5 linked regions of the Xenopus tropicalis genome follow. The protein of the gene in region 3 interacts with the protein of the main gene of each other region in a pairwise test. Links are inferred from orthologs where the notes say so. Each region holds a gene or a part of one and is shown on either strand. Other genes may lie near its edges.

Region 1 (5,817 bases), on a different chromosome or scaffold from region 3:
TGTTGCACAGACCACCCAGCAAAACAGCATCACACAGACAATTGAGAGTGGGGGTAGCAGTTTAGCGTAATTTTATTTTATATGTAAACTGTATCATGCTGCTTCTACCCCCTGTTACAACATTTGACAGTGTAGCATACAAAAACATTGTGATTAGATTGTGCATATTGCACAATGGCTATTTTCCACTGGTGCATTAAGGCCATTTTACTTATAAACAGGATCTTAGGATCTTTAAAAGCCTTTATTTGAAAGAAAGGGCTGTGACCTGTATAGCTGCTGCTGTTCAGGACACAGCCCTTTTTTTCAAATGAAGGTTTTGTTTGTTTTTGTTTTGTTTTAAAACAAAAAAAATCCTGTTGTGGTGCTCTATATGAGTAAAAAAAAATAATATACACAAAGTTGAACTGATGTTGAAAAAAGGGTGTATACTGCCCCCTGTAACATAACACCCTGAATTTAGGCAGAGGCTGATCTTTTGCATCTTTCTTTGTTTTTGTTACAGGTGAAGAGATACCAATGTACATTTGAAGGTTGTCCACGGACATATAGTACAGCTGGAAACCTGCGGACTCACCAGAAGACTCATCGTGGAGAATACACCTTTGTCTGCAACCAATCAGGCTGTGGGAAGGCATTTCTTACATCTTATAGCCTGAAAATCCATGTCCGCGTGCACACTAAGGAAAAGCCATTTGAGTGTGATGTGCAAGGATGTGAGAAAGCTTTTAACACCCTGTACAGGTGAGAATGCTTTGCTTGCCAAAACCAAAGGCTTGCTCAGTAGTTTAACACAAAATGTTTGTCCATTGTAACTGTGTAAAAAGCTTTAGTAAACATTATATGCCTACTTTGGAGATATTTTAAGCACAAATCTTTTGTGTAACCAGTTAGTTAAGCGGTCTGTGTGCTTAGTGGCCTTTTTGTGGCTCTTGTTCTGTCTCAGGAAACAGGGGGCATGGCTTGTCTTGCTGAGACAACTCTGTGCCTGGAATATTAAAAGCTAGGAGAGATATTCTGTACACATGCTGGCCTGGGTGGGGTTTGTAGCTGTCATTGCTAATGAGCAACTGATTCAGCTGGTCAGACAAGAACATCCTGATGTAAAGTGGAAAGAGACTTTCAGTGAAATTGAAAATTGTTGTGTGTGCTGTTACAATATTAAGCACACGTGTTTAAAAAAGTTTGTAAAATATGCAAATGTATATTCTTAGTATACAATTTTATACATATATGCAGATCTTCATTTCATGGTATATAGATGTAGTTTGGTTGATAAGTGATAATATGTTAGGAACAAAATTAAAACAACAAGCTTACTTTATATTATAATTCTTAACCATATGGTGTGTAGAAAGAGGGAGAATTAGCTAGTATTTTGTAATAACTTGGGATACATCAAAGTATAATGAATTCCATACAGTGGGACACTGGGCAATAACCTATAGCAACTAACAAGTGATAATACTTTTTTAGCCAGCTACAGGCAGAATGATGATAACAAAAATTTGATTGGTTACCATGGGTTACAGTCCAGCTGCAAATTTGCCCAGGGTTAGGTGGAAATATAACACATATATGTCTCCATCACTAAGGCTACCGCCAGACCAGGGTGATTCTTGGTCTGTTGATAAACGCAGGCCCCTATGCTTGCCTCACCCTACATGTGTGACTATATCAGGAGCCACTGCGTTGGCCCGGTTGCAGGCACATTGAGCAGATTTTGGTACTGTATTGTGTGTGAGTATGCATTTTGTTACCAAGATCCACTCTGCGTATCTGCACCAAGGCCGACATATGACAGTAGCCTAAAACTAAAGTGCCCTAAATACAATATATTGTGATATCTGAAGGGATATAAGTCATGCTAATGCTACCATGTACCATTTATTTCTGGTTTGCTAAACTAATCTGAAGAGGTCCACTATTTATTTTTTTTTTTTGCAGGTTAAGAGCACACCAAAGGCTTCACACAGGGGAAACCTTTAACTGTGTAACAGAAGGCTGCAGTAAATTCTTTACCACCCATAGTGATCTGCGGAAGCACATTCGCACCCACACCAGGGAGAAACCATTTAGGTTGGTCTCATTTCTTTAGACTGCTTGTTTTTTGTTTTCTTTTGTAACTTTGTGCCAGTAAGGACAGTTGAAGGAACGAATACTTCTAATAATATATTAGTATGGAATTGAACTGGAAATATTCAAAGCCATTTTTAATGTTAAATAAGATTGGTGGGAAGGGGCTAGTAGAACTGGTACTGTATCACATGGGCAACTTCTGCACTTGTGTATTTCAGCATGCTGTCATGCACTTCCTGTTTAAGTGAGACACACAGCAGTGGTGGTTTTGGCTTCTGAAATACCCTGGTAGAGTATAAGCCCCATGTGCCATTGGGGTTTTGCAGGCGTCATATTTCACTTTGCCTTTGCTCCCACTTTGGTGCATAAAGGCCAAGGCGCAGATCTCTCCATGTATTTGGTAAAGGATGCATGTTGCATCATCTATGGGCACTCAGTATCACACAAAATGTCAGAGCACCTATGCCCTGCCCACATGCCACCCTCTACATCACAGGGGAAAAGCGCAGCCAACCCTCTAACTCGCCATGATCTTTATAGTCTCAGTATTTTGCACATGTTTATGGCGGATGCAGTTATCATGGAGTTCTGGCAAAGAAGTTGCATTGTTGGTTTGCACAACTTGTTTAGCAGAGTGACCAATATATTCTGATCATTTTTTGTTATGATACATAATCATTTGTAAATTTATCATAAACATGTGATTCACATCACAACAGGCACACAATTCTAATTTGCTGAATATCTCTATAACTGTGTTTTCCATGGGCTGCTATTGTCATTTATGCAGCTGTAATCGAGATTATAGGGTATATTTTAGTATTATTTGCTGAACATGCAGAGGCGCTGCATTAGTAAATAGCTCCTGGGGCAGGTGATAATACATTCAGAATCACTCCCTGCTATTTGCTTTGCAATCATGGCAGTCAGTGTTTCTGACCAACAGTTGTCTGACAAGGGGGTGTCTACAGAAACATCAATCCTACATGATAAGCAGTCATGTCGTTTACAGCCGCTGACATATCATTTACAGTCTGTAGCAGCCAAGGGGTTAATGTAATGTGCCATTCTATATTTACTTTCTGTGTTTTTAAATTCAGGTTGTTTCTTGTAATTTACTCTGTCTGTGCAGGTGTGATCATGATGGCTGTGGAAAGGCATTTGCTGCAAGTCATCACCTTAAAACGCATGCCAGGAAGCATACAGGTATAGAAAACAGCATTTGTGGGTGTGTTACACAGAAGGGAAGAATATAATCAGGGATTGGCAATGTTTGTCACTTTTGATAATAAGCAATTACTGCTCCCAGCGATTAGGTTATAGATTTACACAACATTTTTCTAATTTACATGAAAATACCTGCTGTGATTAAAACTAACGAAAGGTAATTATATTTTCTTTTATGACATATAATATTGAAACCCAAGATTTGCCACACTGTCCATATGAGGTTCCTCGCGCACTACCCTCCTCAAGCATGTCCTGAATTTAGCTCTTATTTGTTGTGCTACCTCTTGCACTGGGTAGTAAATGCACAAATTCACTGGTATCTAGAACTCTCTTTATTTCCTGTCTGATGTTACCTAGAAACACATAAATAGGGAGGGCATGCAGTGGAAAGTAAAAGGTAATTGGGCAAATCAGGACTTTATCCTATATTGCGTGGGGCTGGAGTCTGTGAGACGCAGCCTAGTCTCCACACTCCATAAGAAATTAATAAAATAGATCTGTTTGTTATAGGCTTTGGTTGGAAGCATATAGCTTCTGTTAAATTAAGATTTACTTTACACTGGCATCATGATATTACTGATGTACCTGTAAAAGCTGTATAGGCATACCTATAACAAAATACCAATTCTACACACACCGTTCCACAGTATCACTTCTACATTATGAAGAACAAGACTCACAGGATTAGGGTATATTTCTTTAGAGTTACATTCTCTGCGTGTGGCTGTAAAAATCAGCTGGGATCATGAAAAAAAAAATGCTGTGATGGGTACATACAGTAGGAGGGACAGGGCTTTCCTTCACAGAATAGGGCAAATAAGCAGGTTACTATCCCACCTGCTTGCAAAAGTACAGAGCATCCTGGGCCAGTAAAGGTCAGTTTGTGTTTGGTGCCACATCTGTAATTGATCTTCTTGCTGAATTGGCAAATTGGGCTCTGAATGTCTAGTTCTTATTTTATAACATTTTTGCACCCATAGTAACACATTCTTATTCCCTTGTTTCCAACTACTAGGAGAAAAACCATTTTTATGTACCAGTGATGGCTGTGAGAAGACATTCAGCACCCAGTATAGTTTGAAGAGTCATATGAAAGGTCATGACATTACTGGTTTGGAGGAATCATTACCAAACCACACATCATGCGAGGTATAACAATCGTCATTAAACCTTTCTCATTTAGCTCTCATTTAGGGTCCCATCTTTTACATAATGCACATATATGCACACAATCTTCTGTAATCCAGCAGGTACATACACGCTTAATTCTCCGTAATATTGCAGACATAGTCATGCTCCAATATTTTCTTTACAAAGCAATAACAATGGCAACAACTCATTAAAAAAAAAACCTAGTGAAAATTACTAATTTCTATTCAACTTAAGAAAAGAATAGTCTGAATCCTTTCTCCCAATTTGCTTGAGGGGGAAAAAGGAGTCCTATGACATAGTTTTGCAGGTACCCATGCACCCATTCACAGATACATATATGCACTTATTCACTCAAAAAACTGTGTTTCCGTGATATACCCTTTTAGGTTTTTATACACCCATATGCATTAACCGATACATGTAGTCACCTACAAACAGAGGAACCCATGCACACACAAATACAGAGGCATCTACCACTTCCATGAGTTGCACCTTGAAACTAATGATTTGTTCTTAAAGGACATGTAAAGCCTACATTTGCCTACAATGTATATCAGTTGGGCACGTTTCCCCCACCCAAATGGCATCATTTGTACTGCATATATCCCCGCCGTTTGCCAGCACCATCACATTTTCCTAAACCAAATAGCAGCTTTCACCTGGTGGCCATTTTTCCTCTGAAACATAATTGGATACATTTAAATCTGAAAACAGCCTACACACACACACAAACTCTTATTCAGCATACATTTTATCAAGAATACAGGCTCACACAGGCAAAACTGTCTTTGATAAAAGTTCTGCTTTGTTTGAGCACTGTAATGGTAAAGCTGAGTTAAAAAAAACTAAAGCAGACAGCTAGAGCTGAGTTTCTATGGCAATGCCATCTCTTTACTGGCTGCTAGACTGGGGGCGTGTTTAGTAACCTGAGCTTAGAACAACTGAGCATGCCCACAAGCCAACAGCCAAAGCAAATTTCTGAAGGAGGGGACCGAGTGGGTTACAGGAGGAGAAGCAAATCTAGGTGATTGAGGGGATGCTGCAGCCTTACTATTAACCTCTGGACAACCAGCGTGGCAGGTATTGAAAGATTTCAAAGAGGCTGTTCATTGATTACCATAATAAGTGCTATGGCAGTGTAATTTTACCCCCTCACATACTTTATTCATTCCAACATGCACACAGATCCCCTCGTGCGCCTGCACACTTTGCCCACACATTCTTCCAACCAAGCACATTTAATTATGTATAAACTTAGATGTGGTAAAAAAAAATATTTGCTCACTATCAGCATACATAGACATTAATAAATAAAACAGACAAAAAAATTGCAAGCTATATTTTAAGGTGTGTGTG
Region 2 (6,603 bases), on a different chromosome or scaffold from region 3:
CTATTACTCCCACAGCAGGAAGTTAAGAGTGCAACTGAAAATTGCTTCCCCCTTTATAAAAACCACCATATTCAATGCTATAAATGCCACGTGGGATATACGGACAGTACTTACTGCATGTATCATTTCTGTCAGCAGGGGTTCCGGGTCCGGTCTCATGTTCAGATCTTCCAGTTCGAACCGGACAGCCATACGGGTCATCTCAATCTCTTCCTCTGTAAGGGAAGCAGGTTAGGTGGGTGTCCAACGGGCAGTAAAACCTAATTGGGTGCTTATAGGAGGTTGCTTTCTGGCAGGGAGTTAAGATATCCCTTTAATATCACAGCCGCTGTCCTTCCAAGGAATAACAGGTTTAGTTACCCTTTAACCGAAGTGCTCATAGCCACTTACCGGAGAGCCTGGGTTGCAGAACCACCTCAGACAACAGACTGACGACTGTATCCAAGCCCTTGGAGTCCGCAGACACGGCGTACATGGTGGTGTCTCTGAAAAGGAGGCCGACAATAGGAACTCAGTAGGAACAATTGCACCAACACTGACTTGCTTTCTGGCACTCAAGAGTCACTTACCTAGAGGTCTGGCAGTCACAAATGCCTCCGTGTTTCTCCAGCGTGAGGAGGATCTCATCTTTGCTGCCGAACTGCGCTGTGGACTGGAACACAATGGTTAGTCGGGATGGGCCCCGGCAGTCACGTGCCCGCTCACACCCGCACACTGGGTGCCCCACGCCCCTGCACCCATCGCTGCCCCGGTACTTACTGAAAAAGCCAGTTTTTCCAGAAAGTGTGAGATTCCGCTGAGGTATTTAGTCTCGTACCGCGATCCGGAGTTGATAAGAACTGTGAAATAAACACCCCACTGTTACACACCTTCTTATCTGTAAGAAATCCAAGTCCAGCTTGGGACTCCTCCAGTTACATGGGAGTAGGAGAAACAATAGGTTAGCTGAAAGCAGTTCTAATGTGTAGCGCTGGCTGAAAGCTCAGACTCAGGCACACTTTACTGCTGCGCTGCAAGTTGGAGTGATATCCCCCCCCCCTCACCCCCAGCAGCCGATCAGCAGAACAATGGGAAGGGAGCAAGATAGCAGCTCCCAGTAGGTATCAGAATAGCACTCAATAGTAAGAAATATAAGTCCGGCTTGGGACTCCTCCAGTTACATGGGAGTAGGAGAAACAATAGGTTAGCTGAAAGCAGTTCTAATGTGTAGCGCTGGCTGAAAGCTCAGACTCAGGCACAAGGCACTGAGATGGCGCCTACACACCAATATTACAGCTACAAATACATTTGTTGGTTGAAGAATAAAAGGTTAAATGGCAGAGGGAATTATTTGCTGTGTAACAGTGTCATTTAGAGAAAAAAGTGCCCCATAAACATCATGGCAGTGTCCCTGGGTCTGCCCATCATACTTACTCCCAACTGTGCAGAACTGCCCGAATTTGTTCTGCGACGCCACCCGTAGCCCATTCTCCAGGGTGGTCACTTTCGTTTCGAATTTCTCCTGCCCGTCGACTTTGGCAAAGATGGGCTTGGGGAGCTTGGGGAGGGGCGTGGAGAGGGGGATGCTGGGGTAGGCACTGCCGGAGCTGCTGTAGCGCCGGTACCTTGGCAGTCCATATCTGAAACGCAAAGCCGATATTTCACCCACATATACAGCTAGCTAGTTGCTAAGGCTTATTGACCATAGCAACCAATTCACTGAACTGGAGCACAGTTTCCAGCCCCCCCAGTCAGTGCAAGTCATGCCCCCATCTCTGTGCAGGGTTGGAACCTGTCTAGCAGCAAAGCCTCAGCCCAGGAGCAGATTGTTTACTATATGATGCAACCCCATGCAACTCCTACTTCTGCCCTTACTTATAATGGGATTGTTTTATTTTATTTCTCTTTTTGGGGGATCCCATAGCACAACTCCTTGCAGGGGTAAGCAATTTGCTTTTGCCCCTGACATAGCCAAACTACAACTCCCAGCATGCCCTGGCAGCCTGCAGTTCAAAGCCAAGTGTAAAGCTGCAAGCAGGATATCCGGCTCTTATAGTCTAAAATACCCCCCAGGGTAGAATGTAAGCCATCAGCCACCCCGCCTTGGGGTATTTACACACCCAGATCATGTTCTTATGTAAACACCCCCCTCATCACGTGACATTTCCCTCCAATGCGGGGAGACCCAGCCCCTGTCACCTACCGGCGGGGGTAAGTCCCATCCCGTTACCCCAGGCAGGAAGGAAAGGCCGTACTAAAACCCCGCTTACCGCTGTATTCCACCCCAGAGCCGACTCCTCGCTACATTCGCCGCCATCTTTCCATGCCCCGCCCCCTGACCTCCTCAGCACAGGCATGGGGAGAGCCGGATAACTTCCTGCTTCCGGTGGGGCGGGAGCGTCACTTCCGGGGAACATGCCTGGAGGAACTGAAGTAGCTGGCAGCTTGCTCTTACTTCTATGCAGCCTTCTGAGTATCCCTCACTCACATGAGTGCCCACTTACTGAGTGCTACTAGCCCAGTGCCCACTCCATTAGTCTTTAGCAATTTCCTAATGTTTTACCTGCCCATTCCTGCTTGGCATCTCTACCATTCCCTGCTGAAGGTATGAGGGGCTCTGCTGCCTGTAACCCCCACACCCCCTGCTAGCCCCCCCAAGTGCCTTGTTGCCCAGGATACAGCCATGTCTGGATCTTCCAAGCAGCCACATGCCAAAGGCAAGACCCTCATCATAGAGGACGGTGAGTATCAGTATCAACCTTATAGTAACATAGTAAGTTAGGTTGAAAAAAGACACACATCCATCAAGTTCAACCTTAATGCCTATATTTAACCTGGCTAAATGCCAGTTGATCCGGAGGAAGGCAAAAAAACCCCATCTGAAGCCGCAGAGGGGAAAAAAAATCCCTGCATGTACCCTTCTAAAGGGGAACTCTGCCCACAGTCTTCATTGGTTCTGACTCCTGAAGCGATGTAGGAGAAGCCATCTGACTGTCATAGAGAACTGATGTTGGCTGCACATTTTCAGGTGTCAGAACCTTCCTATATGTTTTTAGTTTGTGAGAGTTGTTAAGTCTTGGTTGAATTCCTTAGAAATCACCCCACCTGAGACCCTTATAATGCTCGATCGGAGAAGGAAATGTATTGATCCGGTCAGGGTAGGACTAGAGGGTGCAGGGGGGGTCCAGCGGCCCTGCAGGTGCCCTTGCTGGCCGCATCTCCTAACCCCCCCCCCGCAGGGGCCCCCCTAACCCCCCGCAGGGTCCCCCACCCAACGTCCTCCCCTGAGCGCGTGTAAATTTAATGTATCATGGGTCTGGTCTGGGCCGCCGGGGCCCACCAGGATTTTTCCCGGTGTCCCGAAGACCTGGTCCAAACCTGGATCTGGCGCATCAAGCTGACAACCAATTGTTTTATTCTTTGCAGACTGTGAAGCAGAAGCCCTGGATGAAGCCAACCCATTCTCCTTTAAGGAGTTTGTCAAGAGCCAGACCTTTCCAGGATTCGTTTCCAGTAATAGTAAAAGGGCTTTCTCTAAGGTGAGTACTGTGTATTTCTGGGTATTTATATAAACTATAGTAGGGTTTCTGTAGCAAACACCCCAGCTGTACCAGTGCAGGAATGGCTGCCCCCGGGGCTACACAGCGGGGTATTTATATAAACTATAGTAGGGTTTCTGTAGCAAACACCCCAGCTGTACCAGTGCAGGAATGGCTGCCCCCGGGGCTACACAGCGGGGTATTTATATAAACTATAGTAGGGTTTCTGTAGCAAACACCCCAGCTGTACCAGTGCAGGAACGGCTGCCCCCGGGGCTACACAGCGGGGTATTTATATAAACTATAGTAGGGTTTCTGTAGCAAACACCCCAGCTGTACCAGTGCAGGAATGGCTGCCCCCGGGGCTACACAGCGGGGTATTTATATAAACTATAGTAGGGTTTCTGTAGCAAACACCCCAGCTGTACCAGTGCAGGAATGGCTGCCCCCGGGGCTACACAGCGGGGTATTTATATAAACTATAGTAGGGTTTCTGTAGCAAACACCCCAGCTGTACCAGTGCAGGAATGGCTGCCCCCAGGGCTACACAGCGGGGTATTTATATAACAATATTAAATAGCAACATTACATTATATTTTAATTATAACATTTTTATTTTTTCCTGTTACTGTTCCTTTTATATGGTCATGCAACATTATTCCCTATATTGCCCGTTGCTCACTATTTAAAATTACAGTGTAATCTCCCCCCCACAGGACTCTAACCAATCCACAACACAGTTTCGTGGACCCAGCGAATGCCCAGATGGGAATCTGGAATTCCAAGAGACGTACTTCAGAGACCCGACGCTGTATGATGACTTACAGGAGGATGAGGATGACGACTGGAGTGGCAGTTACCACCCTTCTGTTATAGAAAACACTCACGGTCCCAAAGTTCCCTCTCCCGCTGGCACTGATGGGGATGAGTCTTATGGATACGGTGCCAGCGACATGTCTGGCGATGGATTAATCACAGGTTGGCAACAGGCTGTCCTTCCGTCTCCCCCTGCCGGCTTGCATGGGAAAACCCAACATCGCCCTGACAGCACCAGTGACTCCGAGGAGGGTTTGCGACTGCTACAGATAAACTGTGAAGAGGTAAGTGAGGAAACGTTCAGCTGCGTTTTACGTAAATCCATCCGTTCCAGCGGCAAATATCCCAGATAAGGTATTTGCAAGAAACCAAAGCCATTGTTTTAGTCAGCTGCTTCATTGATTCAACAACCAGATGCCCAACTCTTCTTACATTCTTACATTCCACCTCTGTTGGTTTATCGTTCTTCAGCTACAAGAGGAGAATCTCCATCTAAAGAGCAAGATCTGTAAACTGAAGGAACTGAACGACAGCCAGAATGAAAAGTAAGATATTTCAGTCATTATTACTGCCATCGTTGCCCTGCATTGGTACAGCTGGGGTGTTTGCTACAGAAACCCTACTGTAGTTTATATAAATACCCCGCTGTGTAGCCCCGGGGGCAGCCATTCCTGCACTGGTACAGCTGGGGTGTTTGCTACAGAAACCCTACTATAGTTTATATAAATACCCCGCTGTGTAGCCCCGGGGGCAGCCATTCCTGCACTGGTACAGCTGGGGTGTTTGCTACAGAAACCCTACTATAGTTTATATAAATACCCCGCTGTGTAGCCCCGGGGGCAGCCGTTCCTGCACCGGTACAGCTGGGGTGTTTGCTACAGAAACCCTACTATAGTTTATATAAATACCCCGCTGTGTAGCCCCGGGGGCAGCCATTCCTGCACTGGTACAGCTGGGGTGTTTGCTACAGAAACCCTACTATAGTTTATATAAATACCCCGCTGTGTAGCCCCGGGGGCAGCCATTCCTGCACCGGTACAGCTGGGGTGTTTGCTACAGAAACCCTACTATAGTTTATATAAATACCCCGCTGTGTAGCCCCGGGGGCAGCCGTTCCTGCACTGGTACAGCTGGGGTGTTTGCTACAGAAACCCTACTATAGTTTATATAAATACCCCGCTGTGTAGCCCCGGGGGCAGCCGTTCCTGCACCGGTACAGCTGGGGTGTTTGCCACAGAAACCCTACTATAGTTTATATAAATACCCCGCTGTGTAGCCCCGGGGGCAGCAATTCCTGCACTGGTCCAGCTGGGGTGTTTGCTACAGAAACCCTACTATAGTTTATATAAATACCCCGCTGTGTAGCCCCGGGGGCAGCCATTCCTGCACCGGTACAGCTGGGGTGTTTGCTACAGAAACCCTACTATAGTTTATATAAATACCCCGCTGTGTAGCCCCGGGGGCAGCCGTTCCTGCACTGGTACAGCTGGGGTGTTTGCTACAGAAACCCTACTATAGTTTATATAAATACCCCGCTGTGTAGCCCCAGGGGCAGCCATTCCTGCACCGGTACAGCTGGGGTGTTTGCTACAGAAACCCTACTATAGTTAATATAAATACCCCGCTGTGTAGCCCCGGGGGCAGCCGTTCCTGCACTGGTACAGCTGGGGTGTTTGCTACAGAAACCCTACTATAGTTTATATAAATACCCCGCTGTGTAGCCCCGGGGGCAGCCATTCCTGCACCGGTACAGCTGGGGTGTTTGCTACAGAAACCCTACTATAGTTTATATAAATACCCCGCTGTGTAGCCCCGGGGGCAGCCATTCCTGCACTGGTACAGCTGGGGTGTTTGCTACAGAAACCCTACTATAGTGTATATAAATACCCCGCTGTGTAGCCCCGGGGGCAGTCGTTCCTGCACCGGTACAGCTGGGGTGTTTGCTACAGAAACCCTACTATAGTTTATATAAATACCCCGCTGTGTAGCCCCGGGGGCAGCCATTCCTGCACTGGTACAGCTGGGGTGTTTGCTACAGAAACCCTACTATAGTTTATATAAATACCCCGCTGTGTAGCCCCGGGGGCAGCCGTTCCTGCACTGGTACAGCTGGGGTGTTTGCTACAGAAACCCTACTATAGTTTATATAAATACCCCGCTGTGTAGCCCCGGGGGCAGCCATTCCTGCACTGGTACAGCTGGGGTGTTTGCTACAGAAACCCTACTATAGTTTATATAAATACCCCGCTGTGTAGCCCCGGGGGCAGCC
Region 3 (5,817 bases):
AGAGGAGAGAGCTGAAAGCTGTGTGTCTCTGGCAGAGGAAAACAGACACAGCTAATCTTTTTACAGATAAGTCAGTATAGTGTTTCTGTGAGTGTTTATTGCTGTATTTACATAGACATTTCTGATAAAGCTTCTGGTAAACCTTTTTTTCTGTCTTAAAATGACTCTAAACAACCCCCAGAATAACTTACCTTAGTCCCTGCATTCAGTCTGATCTGGTTTCTGATTTATAAGTTGAAATCTCCAGCTCTTTTCCTCTTCTTCCTGGTACAGCATGAAGCCCTGCCTCTCTTCCTGTTCAGCTCTCTATAGTGGAAGAGGGCAGCTTTCTGGGAATGCACAGTAAGTCAGGCAAGTTATGTATGGGAACTGAAAAAAAACTGCTGCTGCACACTGGCTTCTGCTTCTCTGTACATTCCCAGAAAGCTTCTTCTATGTCAGGCTTACTACTTCTTTAAATGAGTAGGTCACGTTTAAATGACCCTTTCATATGATGCAGTGATGTTCTAAGATAATTTGCTGAGTGCCTTTATTTTTATTTTTTGGTCAAGCAGCTTTCCAGATAGGAATTACAGCAGCTGTCTGTTTGTTAGGTTCTAGTTTACCCTAACAACCAGGCAATGATTTCAGTAAGAGACCTGAAGATGAATAGTTAAGGGCCCGAAGAGAAAGATAAGTAATAAAAAGTAACTAAAATTGTAGACTCACAGGGGATGTTGCAGTAAATGACCCTATTTTAAGCTGGAAAGAGGCAGGAAATATAGGCAAATAATAAAAAAAACTATAAAAAAAAAAATAAAAGGTGAGCTACCCTTTAACATTCAGTGAGCTAGGCTAGTGCATAGAGCACTATGTAGACCCAAACTCAATGGCTGTTTTGTTGCCATGGTAATTATTATTTTCTTTTAAGCAGTTCCCATGCATGGCTGTTTTGTGCTTTCCTTTATAATTATTGATGCGCTTCAGTCATGTAAAAGTATAACCTCTCCGTGACAATTCCAGTTAAGCAACTTTCACAATGTTTTCTGCATTTTTCTAACTTTCAAGCATTTCAGTGTAATGCCAAAAATGTTGCACTATTTCAGTTGTTTACAATGCAAGGCATTGGGCAGGTTTGAGGTTGCTTTGCAGCAGTTCTGAGCCCATTTCATTAAAGCACAAAAAAATCTGTTCCCAGTCATGGCTTTCTTATTGGTAGCACCAAGCTGTGTGGCTTTGTGCTTTCACAGGCAAGCAGAAAATGATGCTCTGTACTGCTTACTAAGGCTGAAACCTTCCATGGGAGCTGTGTGTTCAAAGGCAGCTGGCAGTGAGATTTCTGTTATACTGTGATAGTTGATATTTTACGTTTAAACAAACACACTCAGCTGAAATATTTTTTCTGTTCATACACTGAAGGTTGGGTTTTGGCTAGTTTTTCCAGCTAATTTATTTCAAATACAGTTCGCTGTTACTGGATCAAAATAGAAAGTAAGATTAAAAAAAATGTGTTCCATATATATCAGCAGTTTTTGTAAACTGGTGAGGTTTTGGCCACCAATGTATTGTATACAAGTTGCAGTAAATGTTCCCTGTGTGCCATGCACTCATGCCAGTAAACAGAGTTTGAAACCAGTGCACTCAGAGAATTTATAGGAACAACCAATCTTCTGTTTATTTAGACTATATCAGGATGCATGAAATGTGAAACTTGCAGTGTGTAGAGAAAATAAGGTTCTGTATTATGATATAAAGAAGGAAGCAATGTTGTTTAGAACATATAGTAATCCAAAGCACATGCTGTTAAGAAGGGCAGATTCACAGGTGTAGTATGTAACTCCCTCTGTAATATGATGACAATTTTATTATTTTATATAAACTTATTTTGCAGTGCTGTACAATAGATGGATTTATGCATAAATAGAAATACTGATCAATACAGAAGGTAAAGAGAGCCCTGCTCATTATTGCCGTTTGTTTTAAAGGTCCTTATTTGCCGGAATTACCGCGGTGATGTGGACATGTCAGAAGTGGAGCACTTCATGCCAATTTTGATGGAGAAAGAAGAAGAAGGAGCACTTTCACCAATTCTGGCGCATGGAGGTGTCCGGTTCATGTGGATTAAACACAACAATCTATACCGTATCCTATCTGTTTTGTAGTTTTTATGTCTGTTTGAGTTTTTCTTTCTTAATCTAAATCTTTTTGACAGTGGTCCAATTCAGTAGTTAAATTACTTCAGTCACAATCAGAATGTTTATTCCTACAAAATGTTTTGACGAATGAGTGGTCTAAAACATATCATGGTAATAAACCAGAACTGTTTTGCACACACTATAGATGACTGTATAATGGCTCTGGTGACTTGCTGTTACTACTTTTTTTTTTTTAAGTTCTATTGTCAATCCAGGATTCATGGTCCGAGCAGTAGGGCTTTATAGCAGTATAGCCATTTTGTTTCAATTAGCACTACTTGCACCAGTGTGACAGGTGGAAATTTAAACTGCTCTATTTCCCAATAGTAAGCAAGCCTGTAAATCTGTGTATCCTAAGGATACACTAAATGCAGGTATTCAAATACATTAACTGTATTTGAATTGCAATTCATTTTAAGATGTTCTAGAGTATATATATATAATCTGAATATGAGTAACATACTGAATGTCATCATCTTCTAAAGGGCTCCCAGTATCCCCTGGGCAGGTGCCTGCACAGTACAGACTTTATTCGTAGATTTCTGTACTGCACATGCAGGATGCACTGAAGAAAACAGCACTAGCATAAAGTGCGTGAAAGTACCTTGAGCCAGTGAGTTTTTAAACAAGAGGAACGCTGGCCTCTGGGGTTGGAGATTACTATAGTCACTAGAGGGGTGCCTAACAAATTGGAACCCCCAAGAATTTTATCTTTCATTCTCCTTTAAAGGCTCAGAATTATAATTTTATATTTTGCAGACTTTGATAACGGAGTAAATAATTTAGTATAATCTAACATGATTTCTCCTGCATAAAACCTAGCAGCCTCTAAAATGAATTGTTTGACCTCTAACATTTAAGGAGCATATCTATTAGCGGATTTTGCTTTTCTAGTGGTTTGTGAGTTTGTGAGTATCTTACAGAGCTAGCAAATTATTTTTCCGTACAGATGTACAGACTTAAGTTGCTGAACTGCACTTTGTGGCAGAAAGGTGATTTCAGATCAGGTACGACCCTCTAGATAACAAAATAGGGACATCAAAAAGGGCACTTATCGCTAAATATTTGTTTCCCCAAGAGCAGCTATGGCTGACCGAGTCCAAATTTCAGATTGATAAAAAAAGTACTACTTTAAAGATGTGCAGTCAGCCATTATGGGGCATAATTATGAACCGTGTTCCACAAGCCAGGACACTTGCTCAGTTTGCACAGTGCCTAAACTTTGGGTAACACACATGTTCATATTAAGCAAGTGTCATGGATATAGGTTCCTTTTAACCATTTATAGCAGTAGTTTTGAGGCTGGTGAGCCACTTGAGTAAATGACTTTGTATTAGGAAATGCTTCACTCATGCTTGGGATCTCCTTCATAAATAGTAATAATAAAAAAATAACAAATTACCCCCTTTCACACATACACAACATTTCCCAATATTACTGATTACTATATTAAAATGTTCATTAACACTGTTTGGTTATATATATCACTCCATTATGCATTATGTTTGCAACCTGAAACATTTGTATATCTGTATTTTTGTGTTATATTCACCTTGACAGTATTTAGTTGTTGCAACGTCTAAAAAGAATGCCTGTGTATCGTTGGTATTCTCCTTTCTGTACAAAGTAGTCCAGGTGAGTATTTTGAGTAAATAAATATGTATCAGTCTCTTTCACACATTCTGCAAAAGGAAAAAAGGTTCAGGCAGTCACTCTAGTTAAATGGTGCTAGTAATACAAACAAATCCAAAAACACTATACTATCATTAATAAGAACATTTGACTTCTGATACTCGTGGACAATACATAAAATGAACTACATCATTAGAACTTTGTCTGCTGAGAGTTAAGAGGCCACTAAATTAATTAGTCATTCCCATTAGTACCATGATATGTTACTGTTTCTAAAGATCTGACTGGAATTTGTGTGGTCACACAGCAGATTCTTTGTAAGACTCAAACCATTGGAGTAGTGACCTGTTTTTCAGACAGTTTAAATTCCATACCAGTGTGTTCCCTACTGTGTCTACTAGGAGCTGCTTGGTCTGTTCTCCATATTGTAGATATGCTTATATATGAATGAAGAATAAAGCTGGTTTACAGATTTCAGTCTAATTTCCTGTTAAGCAATTTGTTCCAAATTTGAAGATAATCATATCAACATGGCAGATTAGCAGCTACATCTTAGGACCAATAATGGAAGGAGAAATGAGAAAAAAAAATCTGAAATTTTAGATCTAATAAAAAGGTCTGATTCTCAATAGCTAATTGCTTTTTGTTCTTTATTTTATGCATAGTCATATCCTAACTTAGTGTTTTGCATAATGTGCTGTATTCAGTTAGTTACAATAACTTGTCCATATATTTTGCATTTGACATACATTTGGTCTGAAACCTATTGAACTTTTTGTGTTTAAAGCAGAAGGAAGAGGCATACTGAATTGCATTGTTTGTTTGTATTTTCTAGGTATTTTCTGAGTACTTTAAAGAGCTAGAAGAAGAAAGTATCCGTGATAATTTTGTAATTATATATGAGTTATTAGATGAGCTAATGGATTTTGGCTATCCTCAAACCACAGACAGCAAAATCTTACAAGAGTAAGTGTCTGGTGAAGTCATGCTTACTTCATTTTTCTGTCCCTTCTTTCTTTAAAGGGTTTTTCATCTAAACAACATTTAAGGTGGTCAGTTTCATACATAATTTTGTGTGACTTTCAGTACATGTATGGCGGTCTTACAGTCCCCACTAATATCAGATTACTTTGTATATTGGTCACTTTGTTGATTGGCCCCTTTGAGAAATGAATCTGCCAATTGTATAGTGTATTGGCACATTGGGAAGTGAAAAAACAACACAGATCCTGTTTATTTCCTGCTTTTCCAATCACTTTGGCTGTTTGCCACACAAAGTCATTATGATTATTTCTGAAAATATTCTGATTCTAAGATCCTAGCTATAAAGTAGATGTGCAATGGTTTTGTTATTTATTTATTTTTGCCAACAAAGAAACAGGGACTTGTGAAATTATTAACTGCAGAAAAGGCAGCTCTTACTTTTGTATTATAAGTCTTATTTTTGGATTACACTTATTTTGCATGCTTGACTGTGTAAGTGACGCATGTAATGACATGTCGATTGCCCCCAATGTTTTACTATATACACAAGAGATCATTTATTAACTGCAGGTAAGAGCAAAAAAAGTGTTTTTGCACGTTGCGCCCTGAATCTTGAGAAACTCCTGCAAAACAATGTGAATGGGATGTTCATGGGAACAGGGCTGTATTCATGAGGGGCAATTAGGCACCCCCTTCCTGTCACCTATCTGACCCATAAGTTGACAATAATGTCTGGCAGGAAGGACAGGACTCCTATGTGCCCTAGTGTTAGATTTGCAATCCAGTGCTAGATGCAGAGGGTAACTAGATCCCAGAGGTAAGTGCTTTTTGATTGAGTAGTAAGGGCATGCATTTGTGCTCCTAAGTGCTCTTGCATTTGCATCGGGGGTCAAATTAAATGACTTCTTGAGAATAACTTATATTTCAATGTGCTGCAAATCTTTCAAATAGTTTAAAAAAAAAAAATGTATCCCTCTGACATATATACATATGTTTCTAGGTATATTACTCAAGAAGGTCATAAATT
Region 4 (6,319 bases), on a different chromosome or scaffold from region 3:
GCAATTAGAAGCTCAGTGTACTGGCACCCCTTTAGACTGCAAATTAATTGATTGTGTTCTCTGTTGAACGGAAGCTTTGTTTCAGTGAACCATTTTATACAAAGAAGCAAAGCACATTTAAATGCCACTGCTAGCCTAATGCTAATTTTATCCTTTTTAACATGAACCCCATGTTGTACAATATAGTGATTCACTGCATGCTGCTAGGCATCTGGATTTAAAGTTGACTATATCCCTGCTGATGCCTAGATTTAATGGTACGGTGTTAAATGAGGTGTTAAATATGTAAATATTTTATTTGCTCTGTTAATATTTAATTATCTACTCAGATGTGGTTTTACACATATAAACCTCTACATTTCTTACCATAAGGATATTAATACTGGGTGGTAACTTTATTATATGGTTGTCACTAGGGATGCACTGAATCCAATATTTTGGTATTTAGCCAAACCCCGAGTCGTTCGTGAAACATTTGGCTGAATACCAAACTGAATCTGAATTCGGATTTGCAAATGAAAATTAGGCTATGAAAGATTCCTGTTAAATCTTGGCAGAATACCAAACTGAATCCTGGATATGGTGCATCCCTAGTTTTCATTTAATTATTTTATTATGCATTTTACATTATTGCTAACTACATTGAAGTCCTCACTTTTTCTAGCAGTAATATAAAAGATATTTTTTGCACAGTTAATTACAATATAAATTGTGCAAAAAAGATCTTACAATCTATTTGAGGTGTTCCTGACTCTTTTCTTCTTTAGTTTACACTACTAGCAGGCTCACAAAAGGGTTGTGTGGGACAGCCATTTACAGGCAGCTAAAATGGCATTGAATAGCCAGATAAAAAAATCCACTATTGCAGGTTTACATAATAAACATTTTTTTAAACAATATAAAGAAAAAAATAAAGCCGGAAAATTGACAATATAAACAATCACAACTATACAGCAACGAAGCTGCAGGAAAAACACAAAGCTGTAAAATCAGACAAAACAAATATGAAATACTTAATTTACTTAAATGTGTAGTTAAAAAGCAATGTAACAATAGAGATTAGTGTTTCCAGTCTGCACTCACCTTCACAATATGGTGCAAAGCAGGCCTCACAGCTGCCATCAAACTCTCCTGAGCCACCACCTCAAAAATACTGGGCCGGTCATCAGACAGCGAAGTGGTGGTAATATGGGCCCCCCGCTCTGCCATTATGGAGGTTTAGTTCCGCTGCCAATATGAAAACTATTGCTGACTGCACCTTTAACCTTTTCCAGAATGTACCTGTTTAATCCAAGAAGACCACAATGTACAGTTACAATGCATTTGGGAAAAGAGGGAATTAGCATTCTTTACACCAGTGATCCCCAACCAGTGGCTCGGGGGCAACATGTTGCTCACCAACCCAGTGCTCCCAAACCAGGTAGTTATTTTTGAATTGCTGACTTGGGGGCAAGTTTTGGTTGAATAAAAACAAGATTTACTACCAAATAAAGCCCCCTGTAAGCTGATAGTGTGCACAGAGGCTACCTAATAGCCAATCTTAGCCCTTATTTGGCACCTCCATTAACTTTTATGTGTTGCTCCCCAAGCTTTTTTACATTTGACTGTGGCTCACGCGTAAGAAAGGTTGGGGATCCCTGCTTTACACAATAGACCAAGTGGAGCTGCATAACGTATGTCAAGCTTTGTGCTTACAAATACAATGTATGTACTTTGACATATATAAACTTAATGCACACTTCGGCAGGTATATAGCAAATATCGAGCAAACCAAAACAACCGAGCGGAGGAGTTCTAGGTTATCTATACCTGTCCCCCACGGCAGGCGATAAAGCAGTAACCGGGCCAAAGCTTGGAGGCCCCTACCATATATCTCTGTGCTCTACAAGAACCTGCATTACTGAGGTGAAAGATCGTATGTGCACACGTGTGCCCGTGCATGCGTTCCAGAGCCCTGCAGCGCACCCTTCTCTTATTGAGCAAACACTGGGAATTGTGCCCCGACCAAAACAATTACCATCTTGTGTGTATGAGAGATTCTGCTCAGTCCGGAGTACTTAATGTTCGAAACCGTCCCGTGGATCAGCCTCTAATAAATCCAATCCCCGCAACGCCAATCACAACATCGCATTCTCAACCTCGCAATTTCACAACCTGGAACGCAAAGTGACAGCAGGGATCACATCTTATTCCGGTTGTTGAGACGCCTTTCGCATTTCCGGTGTATGGAACGCAGATGGTAGTAGCTGTGTGTGAGAGCTGTGCTAGATTTCCGGGGCAGCGACCCGCACAGCGCCTTCTCCTCTCCCTGGGTTTCTCTTCATTCGGACATTTATCTCTCTCGTTCCTAAGCAAGTCTGTATTTTTCTGTACGTTATCGGTAAGTCGAAGCAATAAATCGGTGCTTGCCTTATCTAATAGAATAGCGGTAGAGATAGGGATGGGCAGGGCGCAGGGAGCCGCCTGGCTGCTGTAGGGTGCCTGCTTCGTGAGAATTCTTGTGTTGGGAGGTATGGTTATCGCAGGCATTTACTGCACACATAGAAGGTTGTTAATTCCAGGAGATCCATGAACACGTTTTGATTTCTATAAGCCACGATTTAATTAGCCTAAGTGATCACACGAAGATGATAATGACAATTCCTTGTCATAAAGCAAAATGACGCCTGATTTAATGTGTAAATAAAACAATAAAAGGCCATGTTTTTATCAAAGTCCTTTATTTCTCCATGGCCTTGACAGATCACACAAAATCACTTAAGTCAGACAGTTAAAAAATGCAAGGTTTATGTCAAGTTGCTTGGAATTGTAACTTTAGAATGACCACCTACGTTGCTGTCCGCTTCCCCTTAATGTCACCTACACTCAAGTGAGCATTGTTTGCTTCAGGATTCCCAAATAAAATGTCTTAGTTGTCATTAAGGAGGTGCCAAGTCCACTCTGGCAGAGCCAGATCACACCAAGCCTTCAATAACTTTGGTGGTGGCTTAGTTGATTTGCCTCCTGTGCCAAGCCTGTGCTCCACATGCCCCCCCCCCCCCCCCCCCAGCACTTATTTATGTTGTAATATAGTAGCTTGCCATGACTGGCTCCAATTACATCTTATTGTGTCATGTCACTCTTCTAAAAAATATATTAAATATATAACTGCCAATGTTATTGCCATTGCTCTGCAGGAATGTGAATTAGTATTGGAACATTGCTTTCATTCAAATTCGTTGCTTTTTGTACTGGTCTGAGATAATTGCTGGCTGTATGTGTTGCTGCTCCATAGGAAAATTACACTTGCTATCTGAATTCTCCCAAAGTCATTGGAGAATCCTTTGAAAGACACATTGAAATGAATTATATACTTGCAAGTACAAAACATTCAATATACTCTCTTATTTAACGTAACTTTAATCTTTTAAAGATATATATATATATTTTGTTAAATTTAAATTTTTTATTGATTTTTATAGCATAACAAACCATGACAGCACATACAGGTTAAAGTCATTTCTGACAGTAAAAGAGGATCAGGTTATACAGTATCTGTGTGGATATCAGTCTTAACCAGGTAGCAGTACATGAAAAACTTAAGCTCTTGTTTCAGTATTCAAGAGTTCCCTTTGTAAAGGGCCGTTCCTCGGCCCTGCGATACTGGTGCTACTTCCTGGGTCCCTTTCACCTGTTGTCACATTAAGTATTGATAGTGGCGTGCTGTCCGGTATTATTTAAACAATCAAAGTTAAAAATAGGTATATATAGAAAAAGGGTTTGAGGTAGAGAGGTAGTAGAGCATAGTAACTGGGACAGTAACTGGGTGAGAGAGAAATGGGGGGGGTGGGAGGGATAGGAAGGTCATTCTGCTCAGGAATTCTATGTTATAGTCCATTATTATTCTTTGGTCTCGTTGCTTTGGTACGGATAGGAGCCATCCGGCTACGATTAGTGAAGCTCGTTCTTTCTGTTTGTTGACGCCGGTCCAGGAGGTGTTGACTGTGAAGTTGTTGCTGGTGGAGATTCCCGCATCCCCGGTGCGGCCGTCGGAGGCCGGGGGGGGGGGCCCCGGGTCAGTGTAGTACAGGCTGTGATTGATTTTCATAATAATTTAAGAATCATAGGGGTCTATGCCTGAAGGAGTGGTTCAGGTGCAGAATCTTAGGCTGCAGCTAATTCTAAATATTGCTCTGAGTGTTTGAATTGGTTCCAATAGAACCATTTCTGTGTAAATTTTCTTAACTCTTTTTCAGATGTGGGTTTCAGCTCCTCAAATCTATAGATTTCCGACAGTTTATACAGCCAATCTTTTATCCTAGGGGGTTCAGTTTGGCGCCATTTGGTTGGGATTAGTAACTTGGCTGCATCTAACATAACTGGGAAGTAATTTTCCCATTTATTTTTAAAGCCATCTGAAGGGTTTGGGGATAGGTTTAGAAGGCATTTATAGAGAAGAGAGATTGTTCTAGTTGGTGTTTTTTGTTGATTCCAGATCTGTTCTATTTCTGTGAGGGTAGGTCTGGGAGATTGCATTTGGGCAAGGCTGGAGGAAGTGGCGTATCTGACGGTATCTGAACCTGTCCAAGTCTGTTATAGTACGGTTTGGTATCAGGTCTTCTATTGGTTTGATTTGTTGGCCTGTGTAGAAATAGTTTGCTCCGGAGTGTAATTGTAGTTTCCAGCCTTTAAAGTTGTCCAGATCTAATCCGGGGGGGGAAGTCTGGATTTCCAAAGACTGGGGTGAGTGGGGTAGGTGTATTTTGCCATTTGCCTGTGTTGGTTAAGTTATCCCATATGTTAAGCGTGTATTTTAGTTTACTATCTGATTTGTCTTTAGAGCTGGGCGGTATGACCAAAAATTTATATCACGGTATTTGTCAAAATTATATCGGTGTCACGGTATTTGATGGTATTTTTTTTTTCCATGCATGATTAGGTGTTACCCCAATTCCTAATAAATTAGAGAATAATTACTGCAGTATTGAAAATCAGAGTCAGGCAAGCGAAGGATCGGCAACATAAAGTCGTAAGGTAAATCAGGCAGGCTTAGTTTCCCAGGCAAGGCCGCAGACAACATAGCACAGGAGGAGGCGTTTGATAGCTTTAAATACCCCCCACGCATGCGCAGAACTGGCGCCATCAGCGCGTCGCGGACGTGCACACTTTGACATATACGTGCGCTTTGACGGACGCGTGTGTGCAACGTCCCGCGGACAATGGGACGCACGCGAGACCGGGCTGCGCGGGTGTGTACCCTGACACCCCGGTATTGCGGTATCTGAAAAATGAATATACCGTATATACTAGAGTATAAGCCGAGTTTTTCAGCACCAATAATGTGCTTAAAAAGGCACCCTCGGCGTATACTCGAGTATATACGGTAATGCGGGCTGCGCTCACCCCGTTGATGTGCATTCAGCGCTCAGGCGTTCAGGAGTACGCGCGCAACCACCACTCACCCCCTGCGCCGCTGCGCCAGCACGCACACATGCCGTGCCTTTCGTGTGTGCGCCAACGTTAAGGCTGGAGCAGTGCACCAAGGGGGAATGTCCGTGGCCAGCTCGCACACACGCCATGCCTTTTTGGTGCGTGTCAGGTTTGAGGCTGGAGCAGTGCATCGAGGAGGAATGTCTGTGGCCGGCTCGCACACACGCCGTGCCTTTCCCATGCATGTCAGGTTTGAGGCTGGAGCAGTGCAACGAGGGGGAATGTCCACGGGTCGCGGCTATAGGAGAGCAGGTTTTTAAATGTTATTCTAGTCTGGAATATGGATCAATAAAGGCATCTCATCAAATTATAACTGATGGATCGGTGCCCTTAGCTATATGACTTGGCTGCCTGATCTGTTTTGTAATAACTACTACAGTATATATTGCAGGTGATTCAGACTCTCAGCGCTCCAGTGTCATAAATGCAATATTTGGTTATTTACAGGGACGCACCATTCTCTATGGGGGATGGCCTTTCCGTAATTTGGAGCTAATAATGTTTTTTTCAGATAATGGATTCCATACCTGTATGTCAACTTGGGACAATAACTAAAATAGCTTGGTGATGCAGTAACTAAAGCAGCCTTGTGGATCTTTATCTAAAGCAACTTGGTGGGCAAATGCCTAAAGTAGCTTGGCCATGCAGTATCTCTTTATGATCCAAATCATAATCAGTTTGTTCTGTGCAGAGGAGAATAATTAATAGCAAATTGTTCTAGAATTAAACTTGTCTGAAATATCTCAATAATAGTAGTATGTTTACTAGATCATGTTGTGAGTGAACATTGTACTGTAGTTGCTCTCAATTTACTGCAGACAGCTTGGTTAGAAAACAACCATTTTTACAA
Region 5 (6,496 bases), on a different chromosome or scaffold from region 3:
ACCTTTGTGTTTTTGAAATGCCAGGGCCTATCTTAGGCTGATGCCACACGTGGCATTTTTACGCTGCGTTTTTTCTCAGCCTAAAAACGCAGCACAAGCCACACAGCCCCTTACTATGGCGTTTTTCAGCCTAGTACTAGTGACGTAGCAAATCCCGTTTCCATGGTGCTAATAGTGCAAAATAGGAAAAAACGTGGCGTATTTCCGCTAGATCTGGCAGCTGCCTTTGTGTATACATAGGAATAGCTTGCTTTGCAAATACTGGCGTATTTCGGCCAACGCTTGAAAAATCCGTGCTAAGGCGTTTTCTAGCGTATTTCCGCATTGTGTGGTTTGCTTCGAGTCTTTTCAAGTTATTTCTATGGATGATGATATCAGGCGTTTTTCAGCCGCCGAGAGAATTAGAAAATACGCAGCGGAAAAACGCCTCGTGTGGCATCAGCCTTAAACTCATTCTAGACCTGATATGGCCCTGTTGTTTTAGGTAGGGATGCACCGAATCCAGTATTCGGTTTGGGATTCGGCCTTTTTCAGCAGGATTCGGCCCCATCCACGCCTCTGGCTGAACCAAATCTGAATCCAAATCCTTAAAATCATGTGACTGTTTGTCAGAAGTTTAAATTTTTTCACCGTGCACAAAGTGTGATTCTCTTTAAACCTTCCATTTCCTAATTTCCAAATTTGGATTCGGTATTTGGACAAATCTTTCACAAACGATCCTAAAATTGTGGATTTGGTGCATCCCAAGTGTTAGGGTCACTGAAAATCAGTATTTAATACTATTCTGTGTGCAAGAGGCCACCAACAAAACCCTTTCTTTTAACCTCAGCCTTAGGCAATCTGTGACCCTGTCATGAACTACAAACTATATTTATCATGCTGTGTAAAAAGCAGTGTACAGCGTTACCAGCGATGTTGCCCAGGGCAACCAATCAGCAATTACATTTCAACAGTTAGAAAACCAAAGCAAAGCATCTGATTGGCTGCTATGAGCAACTTATACCCCTTAGGGTCATGTGTACTAAGATTGGAGATAAATATCACTAGTGATGTTGCCCATAGCAATAAATCAGCATTTAGATTTGAACTGTCACCTAAAAGTCAGAAATCAAGAGCAAGATCTGATTGGTTGCTACTGGCAACATCACCAGTAATATTTATCTCCAATCTTAGTAGTCTTCAAATATTAATTGAATACTGGTGTAGGGATCCCCAGACTTGAGCCCCTTAGATGGGTTCCCGTTAGGCACTAGAGGTTGGATTTTTTGAGTTAGACACCTAAAGGTGGTCCTAGGTAGGATCACTTGGTGGGAGTACCGTGGGTAACCCAACAGGAGAGAGGTTCTCTAAGACTGAAGTTAAGGAGACAGTGCCCTGATGAATGTGTTCCACTCCTGGAGAGGTCTGCCCTGAATAAAGAGATTCATCTCGTTCACTATACCCACTTGTGTCTGTCTCTTTCCTATCAAGGGATCACCTACTGGCCGGTAAGCAAATACCCCAAGGGAGGGGCAAGGTGCAGGGAGTTGTGTGGAGTCCCAGTCAAGGATTAACGTACAATATCAAGTTCCCAGGGTTGTGAGTTATGGTCTCACAGTATCACCCCTGGGTGGAGGCCCACCATTGAACTGTACAGCACCTGTCCCCCATAGTAAGCGGGGCTCAGGACTCCTATAGCCAGGGGCGGCCAAGCCGACCGGCACCCTAGGCAACCCGGTCGGCCAACTCAGCCCACCTCCCCGCGCATGCGCATGCCAAAGCACAGGAGGCAGTGCAGGGGGGGGGACGATTAGATCGGTCATTGCCTCCGCCGCTAATGACAAGCGGCAGAGGCAATGACAAAGTAGCACTAGGGGTAGGCAGGAGAGGCTCCTGCCTGGCGCCCCTCAATCGTTGCGCCCTAGGCAGCTGCCTCTTCTGCCTACCCCTAGTTCTGGCCCTTCCTGTAGCGCCAAAGTAATAGCAAGTAGCAGCACTGCCAACTAAAGTGGGCTACACTGGGAAATGGAGGGACTAAGGTTACCAAACTCAAAAGTTGTCAAGCGGGTCACTAATCCAACATCACCCAAACTGATCCCTATACCTGTGCCCAGGCCTTGTAAATAAGTGTCCACTCCGTCACAGAGAAATTAAATCTTCAAATACATCTATAAGGTATATATCTCATTTAGTGAAAGTTATATATATTAGCCAAGAATAGGTTTTTTACATAATTGCCATAGTTATGCATGACTAGGTGTAATAGCAGCAGCAGCAGCAGCAGCAGCAGCAATAACATGAGCAGTTCCAAATCATGCCAAGGCCGGCCATATTAGTACACTCACCGTCGAACATTCAAACGCCGGCGATACATCCGTAGCACTGACTTCATTCAAGGTGTAGAAAGATGGCGGCGCGGATACAGGAAAGCGGAAATACCTATTTTTTTTTTATCTCACTTATTTCCTGTAACGATGGCGACTAAGGCGTCTTGGTTGTTGCTTCTGCTCCTTGTTTCGCTGAGCGCTGCGGATAATGGCGAAGGTGAGATGCTTTAGGCTTCAGCTGTGGGGTTTTACCTGCTGGTTTTGGGTGGGTTTAGATGCCTCAAGGCAAAGCTTTATGGGACTGATGCGTGTACCTTCCGCCTTCCGCCCACCAGTCTCTGTCACTATCGTCATTGGCTCCCGGCCTAGATACACTCTCACAGCATTCGGGCTTCTTGTTATTGTGGGAATGAAATAGGTTGTGTGGGGTTTCCCTTGTGCTCATTCTCTTTTCTCTTATGTGTTTGCTAATGGCACCTGTATTCTAACTGGCACTTCCTTTACCAATTAATGGTATCTCATAGAACTATAAACTGGTTTTACACAACCTTGGCTCACAGCAATGAGAGGTTATGCCTTAATGGCACAGTAAAGGTGCCTGTCACCCACATTATTATTATTAATAATCAAGCAATCAATAACTGATACAAGAGGTGAAGCACATATAAAAAGATATGTAATAAAAGTCCTTCAGAAATTAAGCATGTAACCCAAATTTTTTAATTAAATCATCCATACCTGTTATAAATAGACTTAAAAATCTGAGCTGTCAATCATATATTGCCTGCCCCGCCTCTATGCCTCCGGCATAGAGGCGGGGCAGGCAATATATGATTAACAGCTCAGATTTTTAATTACAATTACTTTAACTTTCCATTCAGCACTTCCTAGATATCACCTAGATGGCAGATTTTGGGGTGAAACAAAGCTTGCCTTAAAGGAACAGTAACACCAAAAAAGTGTTTTAAAGTAATTGAAATATAATGTACTGTGGCCCTGCACTGGTACAACTGGGGTGTTTGTTTCAGGAACACTACTATAGTTTATATAAATACGCTGCTGTGTAGCCATGGGGGCAGCCATTCAAGCTGGAAAAAAGGAGAAAAGGCACAGGTTACATAGCAGATAACAGATAAGACACCATTGTATTCTACAGGGTTTATCTGTTATCTGCTATATAACCTGTGCCTTTTCTTCTTTTGAATGGCTGCCCCCATGGCTACACACCAGGGTTTATATAAACTTTAGTAGTGTTTCTGAAGCAAACACAAAACTTTTACCAGTGCAAGGCAGCAGTACATTATAGTTTAATTTCTTTGAAATATATACATTTTTTGGTGTTACTGTTCCTTTAAAGGAACAGTAACACCAAAAAATGAAAGTGTATAAAAGTAACTAAAATATAATGTGCTGCTGCCCTGCACTGGTAAAAGTTGTGTGTTTGCTTCAGAAAGTCTACTATAATTTATATAAATAAGCTGCTATGTAGCCATGGGGGCAGCCATTCAAAGGAGAAAAGGCACAGGCACATAGCAGATAACAGATAAAACACTATTGTATTCTACAGAACTGATCTGTTATCTGCTATGTAACCTGTGCCTTTTCTCCTTTTTTCCAGCTTGAATGGCTGCCCCCGTGGCTACACAGCAGCTTATTATATAAATTATAGTAGTGTTACTGTAGCAAACACACTAATTTTACCAGCGCAGGGAAACAGTGCATTATATTTTTATTACTTTAAAGCTCTTTTATTTTTTGGTGTTACTGTTCCTTTAATAAGCAATTCCAGTATGTCTTGTTAGAAATGGTCAACTCAGCAATTATCAGTAAAACTGGTGTGTTTGCTACAGTAACACTACTATAGTTTATATAAAAAGCTGCTGTGTAGCCATGGGGTCAGCCATTCAAAGGAGAAAAGGCACAGGCACATAGCAGATAACGGATAAGTTCTGTAGAATACAATAGTGTTTTATCTGTTATCTGCTATGTGCCTGTGCCTTTTCTACAGCTTGAATGGCTGCCCCCATGGCTACACAGCAGCTTATTATATAAATTATAGTAGTGTTACTGTAGCAAACATACCAGTTTTACCAGTGCAGGGCAACAGTGCATTATATTTTTATTACTCTAAAGCTCTTTCATTTTTTGGTGTTACTGTTCCTTTAATAACAGTGTTCATAAAATGGCGGCTTTCTGCTTGCCGTGACTGTAAATTCCAAGACTGAAGGGAAAAAAAATTATATAGTGTAAGTAAAGTTTATTTTGCTCAACTAACATGATAGAAAATGATTTGGAATTATTTCTTAGTGTGACAGGTCCCCTTTAATCGCCTTAGCAGAGGCACATCTGAACCTTAATAGCAATGTCATGGTTAAAACATGGCACCTAGAGAATGGTGTTTTAACCCCCTGGGGCCCACCACGCTACTCAGGAAAACAGGCAGCAAATAGGGCACTATACCCCCTTTCCACTTTATTGCAGTGAATCTGTTGGTATTGAACATTCTATTTTCCTTTTAATTAGATGTTTTTTTTATCTCAAGCTCTAAAAGGGCTGAAACTGAAAGTAAAGCCAAATTCTACTTCCTGGTTCTAAGGATACAGTGAAAACAAACAACCAGTCCACTGAGAATCACACCCTCTCTATATAAACAGATTTACCCCAGCTGCAGCCTTTGTTAGGCATAAGGATTAGCACATCATTGTCTGGAAGGTTTCTTATTGATTATTTTTTTTTTCTATAACCGCTATGTAAAAATAAGGAAATTGGTATGACTCTCGGGCTAATGTCGCAATCACAGATGCCATTTCCCCACTAGAAGCTAGCATCTACTTGTTAGTTACTTGGCCCAATTCAGCCTCAGAGTGGCAATCTGGCATCTTACAGCAGCTTCTTTGCCAGAATCCACAAAGACAGTCACTGTTTAGGGTGAAGACACACAGAGCAACTTAATAGCAGCTACTTGTCACGGCTACTAAACTCCAGAAATACCCTGCCATAGACAATACTGAGAATTGCCTCTGCTAAAACACAGAGACAGTTATAAGTAAACGATCAGCATTGTCTATTTCTGTAGCTATTTCTGTAGTAGCTGCTACTAGTGTGTCTTCACCCTTATTGGGCCTGTGTTTGGCTCTTTGGCCTCTGTGTTCCTGAATTTTCAGGGCCTGTTTGGTATCTCAATCCGGGCCTGGCCCACTGTTTGCCTGCTTTGACATAAATTGGATGCATCTATCCCTAAAGGTCCCCATACACGGGCCGATAGTAGCTGCTGATATCGGTCCCTTGGACAAATTCGGCAGCTTATCGGCCCATGTAGGGGCAGAAACGAGGGGCCTGCCTGGCCAGATATCGATCGGCCCGGTTAGAAAATTCAGTCGGATCGGGGACCGCATCGGCTCGTTGATGCGGTCCTAGAACCGACTTCCCCATTGCTGCCCACATAATCCGATCGTTTGGCCCCAGGGCCAAGCGATTGTTTTTTTTTTTTACCTAAACGCTCCCCGATATCGCCCACCCATAGGTGGGGATATCGGGTGAAGATCCGCTCGCTTGGCAATGTGCTTGTGTATGGGGATTTTTAGCAGATAAAAATGGTAGGGGGTTGAATCAGTGTTTTCCAACACCTGCCTCAGTACATTTGCTCTAATGTTTGATTTGATCCCTGAACTGGAATTTAAAATGGGGCATTTGAGCTTTTCTCTCCAGTCTTACAGTAGACTGATTCTAGAATCATTGGCCCACACTGACTTTGGCTACAAAAACTCTAGGACTAATGGGGCTAGTACGTTTTACGTTTATTTTGGGAAAACAAAACATATAGTCAGTTTAATGCTTATGTAGAACTTTGTATCCTAGATTTTAACAGTCTGTGGGTCACAGCTTGTTTTGACTGCAGTAGTCCCTCTCAGTGAGAACTTCCCATGTTGCCTGATGCATTCATAAATGGAGAAATAGTTTACATTGGAAGATGGTAGTGTGCTCAGCTGGAAACACTTTGACCTGATGGTATCAGTGTTGCACTTATTTGTGGATAGGTGGTAGACAAATAGTTGTCCTAAAAGCAGAAAAGCAGTGGCACCTTGTAGCACAACTGCACCATCTTCCAACAATAATAAGCATAGGAGCACACCAGGCATGCTCGAGGGGCATACAAATAGCAGCATGGTACAGCACTGGCCAAGGTTAAG

Evidence for each region.
Region 1: the proteins of ap1m1 (region 3) and mtf1 interact in binary tests that used the Homo sapiens proteins (3 or more experiments, as listed by UniProt). The two-hybrid records come from large-scale screens. The link is inferred for Xenopus tropicalis from reciprocal best matches to the Homo sapiens genes AP1M1 and MTF1.
Region 2: the proteins of ap1m1 (region 3) and entr1 interact in binary tests that used the Homo sapiens proteins (3 or more experiments, as listed by UniProt). The two-hybrid records come from large-scale screens. The link is inferred for Xenopus tropicalis from reciprocal best matches to the Homo sapiens genes AP1M1 and ENTR1.
Region 4: the proteins of ap1m1 (region 3) and ap2b1 interact in binary tests that used the Homo sapiens proteins (3 or more experiments, as listed by UniProt). The link is inferred for Xenopus tropicalis from reciprocal best matches to the Homo sapiens genes AP1M1 and AP2B1.
Region 5: the proteins of ap1m1 (region 3) and tgoln2 interact in a two-hybrid assay, tested with the Homo sapiens proteins (2 studies listed by BioGRID). The link is inferred for Xenopus tropicalis from reciprocal best matches to the Homo sapiens genes AP1M1 and TGOLN2.

What each region holds. Positions count from the first base shown.
Region 1 is NC_030678.2:83,691,861-83,697,677, reverse strand, and holds part of mtf1 (metal regulatory transcription factor 1), read left to right. Parts: intron 1-505; coding exon 506-744; intron 745-1,947; coding exon 1,948-2,079; intron 2,080-3,211; coding exon 3,212-3,285; intron 3,286-4,324; coding exon 4,325-4,458; intron 4,459-5,817. UniProt on the Homo sapiens protein: Zinc-dependent transcriptional regulator of cellular adaption to conditions of exposure to heavy metals. Binds to metal responsive elements (MRE) in promoters and activates the transcription of metallothionein genes like metallothionein-2/MT2A.
Region 2 is NC_030684.2:6,497,245-6,503,847, reverse strand, and holds the start of entr1 (endosome-associated-trafficking regulator 1), read left to right. Parts: upstream 1-2,458; 5' UTR 2,459-2,662; coding exon 2,663-2,720; intron 2,721-3,405; coding exon 3,406-3,518; intron 3,519-4,234; coding exon 4,235-4,618; intron 4,619-4,805; coding exon 4,806-4,879; intron 4,880-6,603. Other genes in the region: pmpca (mitochondrial-processing peptidase subunit alpha), read right to left, coding at 115-215, 391-485, 570-652, 760-839, 1,414-1,619, 2,250-2,296. UniProt on the Homo sapiens protein: Endosome-associated protein that plays a role in membrane receptor sorting, cytokinesis and ciliogenesis. Involved in the endosome-to-plasma membrane trafficking and recycling of SNX27-retromer-dependent cargo proteins, such as GLUT1.
Region 3 is NC_030677.2:98,841,523-98,847,339, forward strand, and holds part of ap1m1 (AP-1 complex subunit mu-1), read left to right. Parts: intron 1-1,964; coding exon 1,965-2,121; intron 2,122-3,741; coding exon 3,742-3,809; intron 3,810-4,641; coding exon 4,642-4,772; intron 4,773-5,790; coding exon 5,791-5,817. UniProt on the Homo sapiens protein: Subunit of clathrin-associated adaptor protein complex 1 that plays a role in protein sorting in the trans-Golgi network (TGN) and endosomes.
Region 4 is NC_030678.2:93,514,070-93,520,388, forward strand, and holds the start of ap2b1 (AP-2 complex subunit beta), read left to right. Parts: upstream 1-2,186; 5' UTR 2,187-2,380; intron 2,381-6,319. Other genes in the region: pex12 (peroxisome assembly protein 12), read right to left, coding at 1,084-1,209. UniProt on the Homo sapiens protein: Component of the adaptor protein complex 2 (AP-2). Adaptor protein complexes function in protein transport via transport vesicles in different membrane traffic pathways.
Region 5 is NC_030679.2:126,815,669-126,822,164, forward strand, and holds the start of tgoln2 (trans-Golgi network integral membrane protein 2), read left to right. Parts: upstream 1-2,414; 5' UTR 2,415-2,453; coding exon 2,454-2,523; intron 2,524-6,496. UniProt on the Homo sapiens protein: May be involved in regulating membrane traffic to and from trans-Golgi network.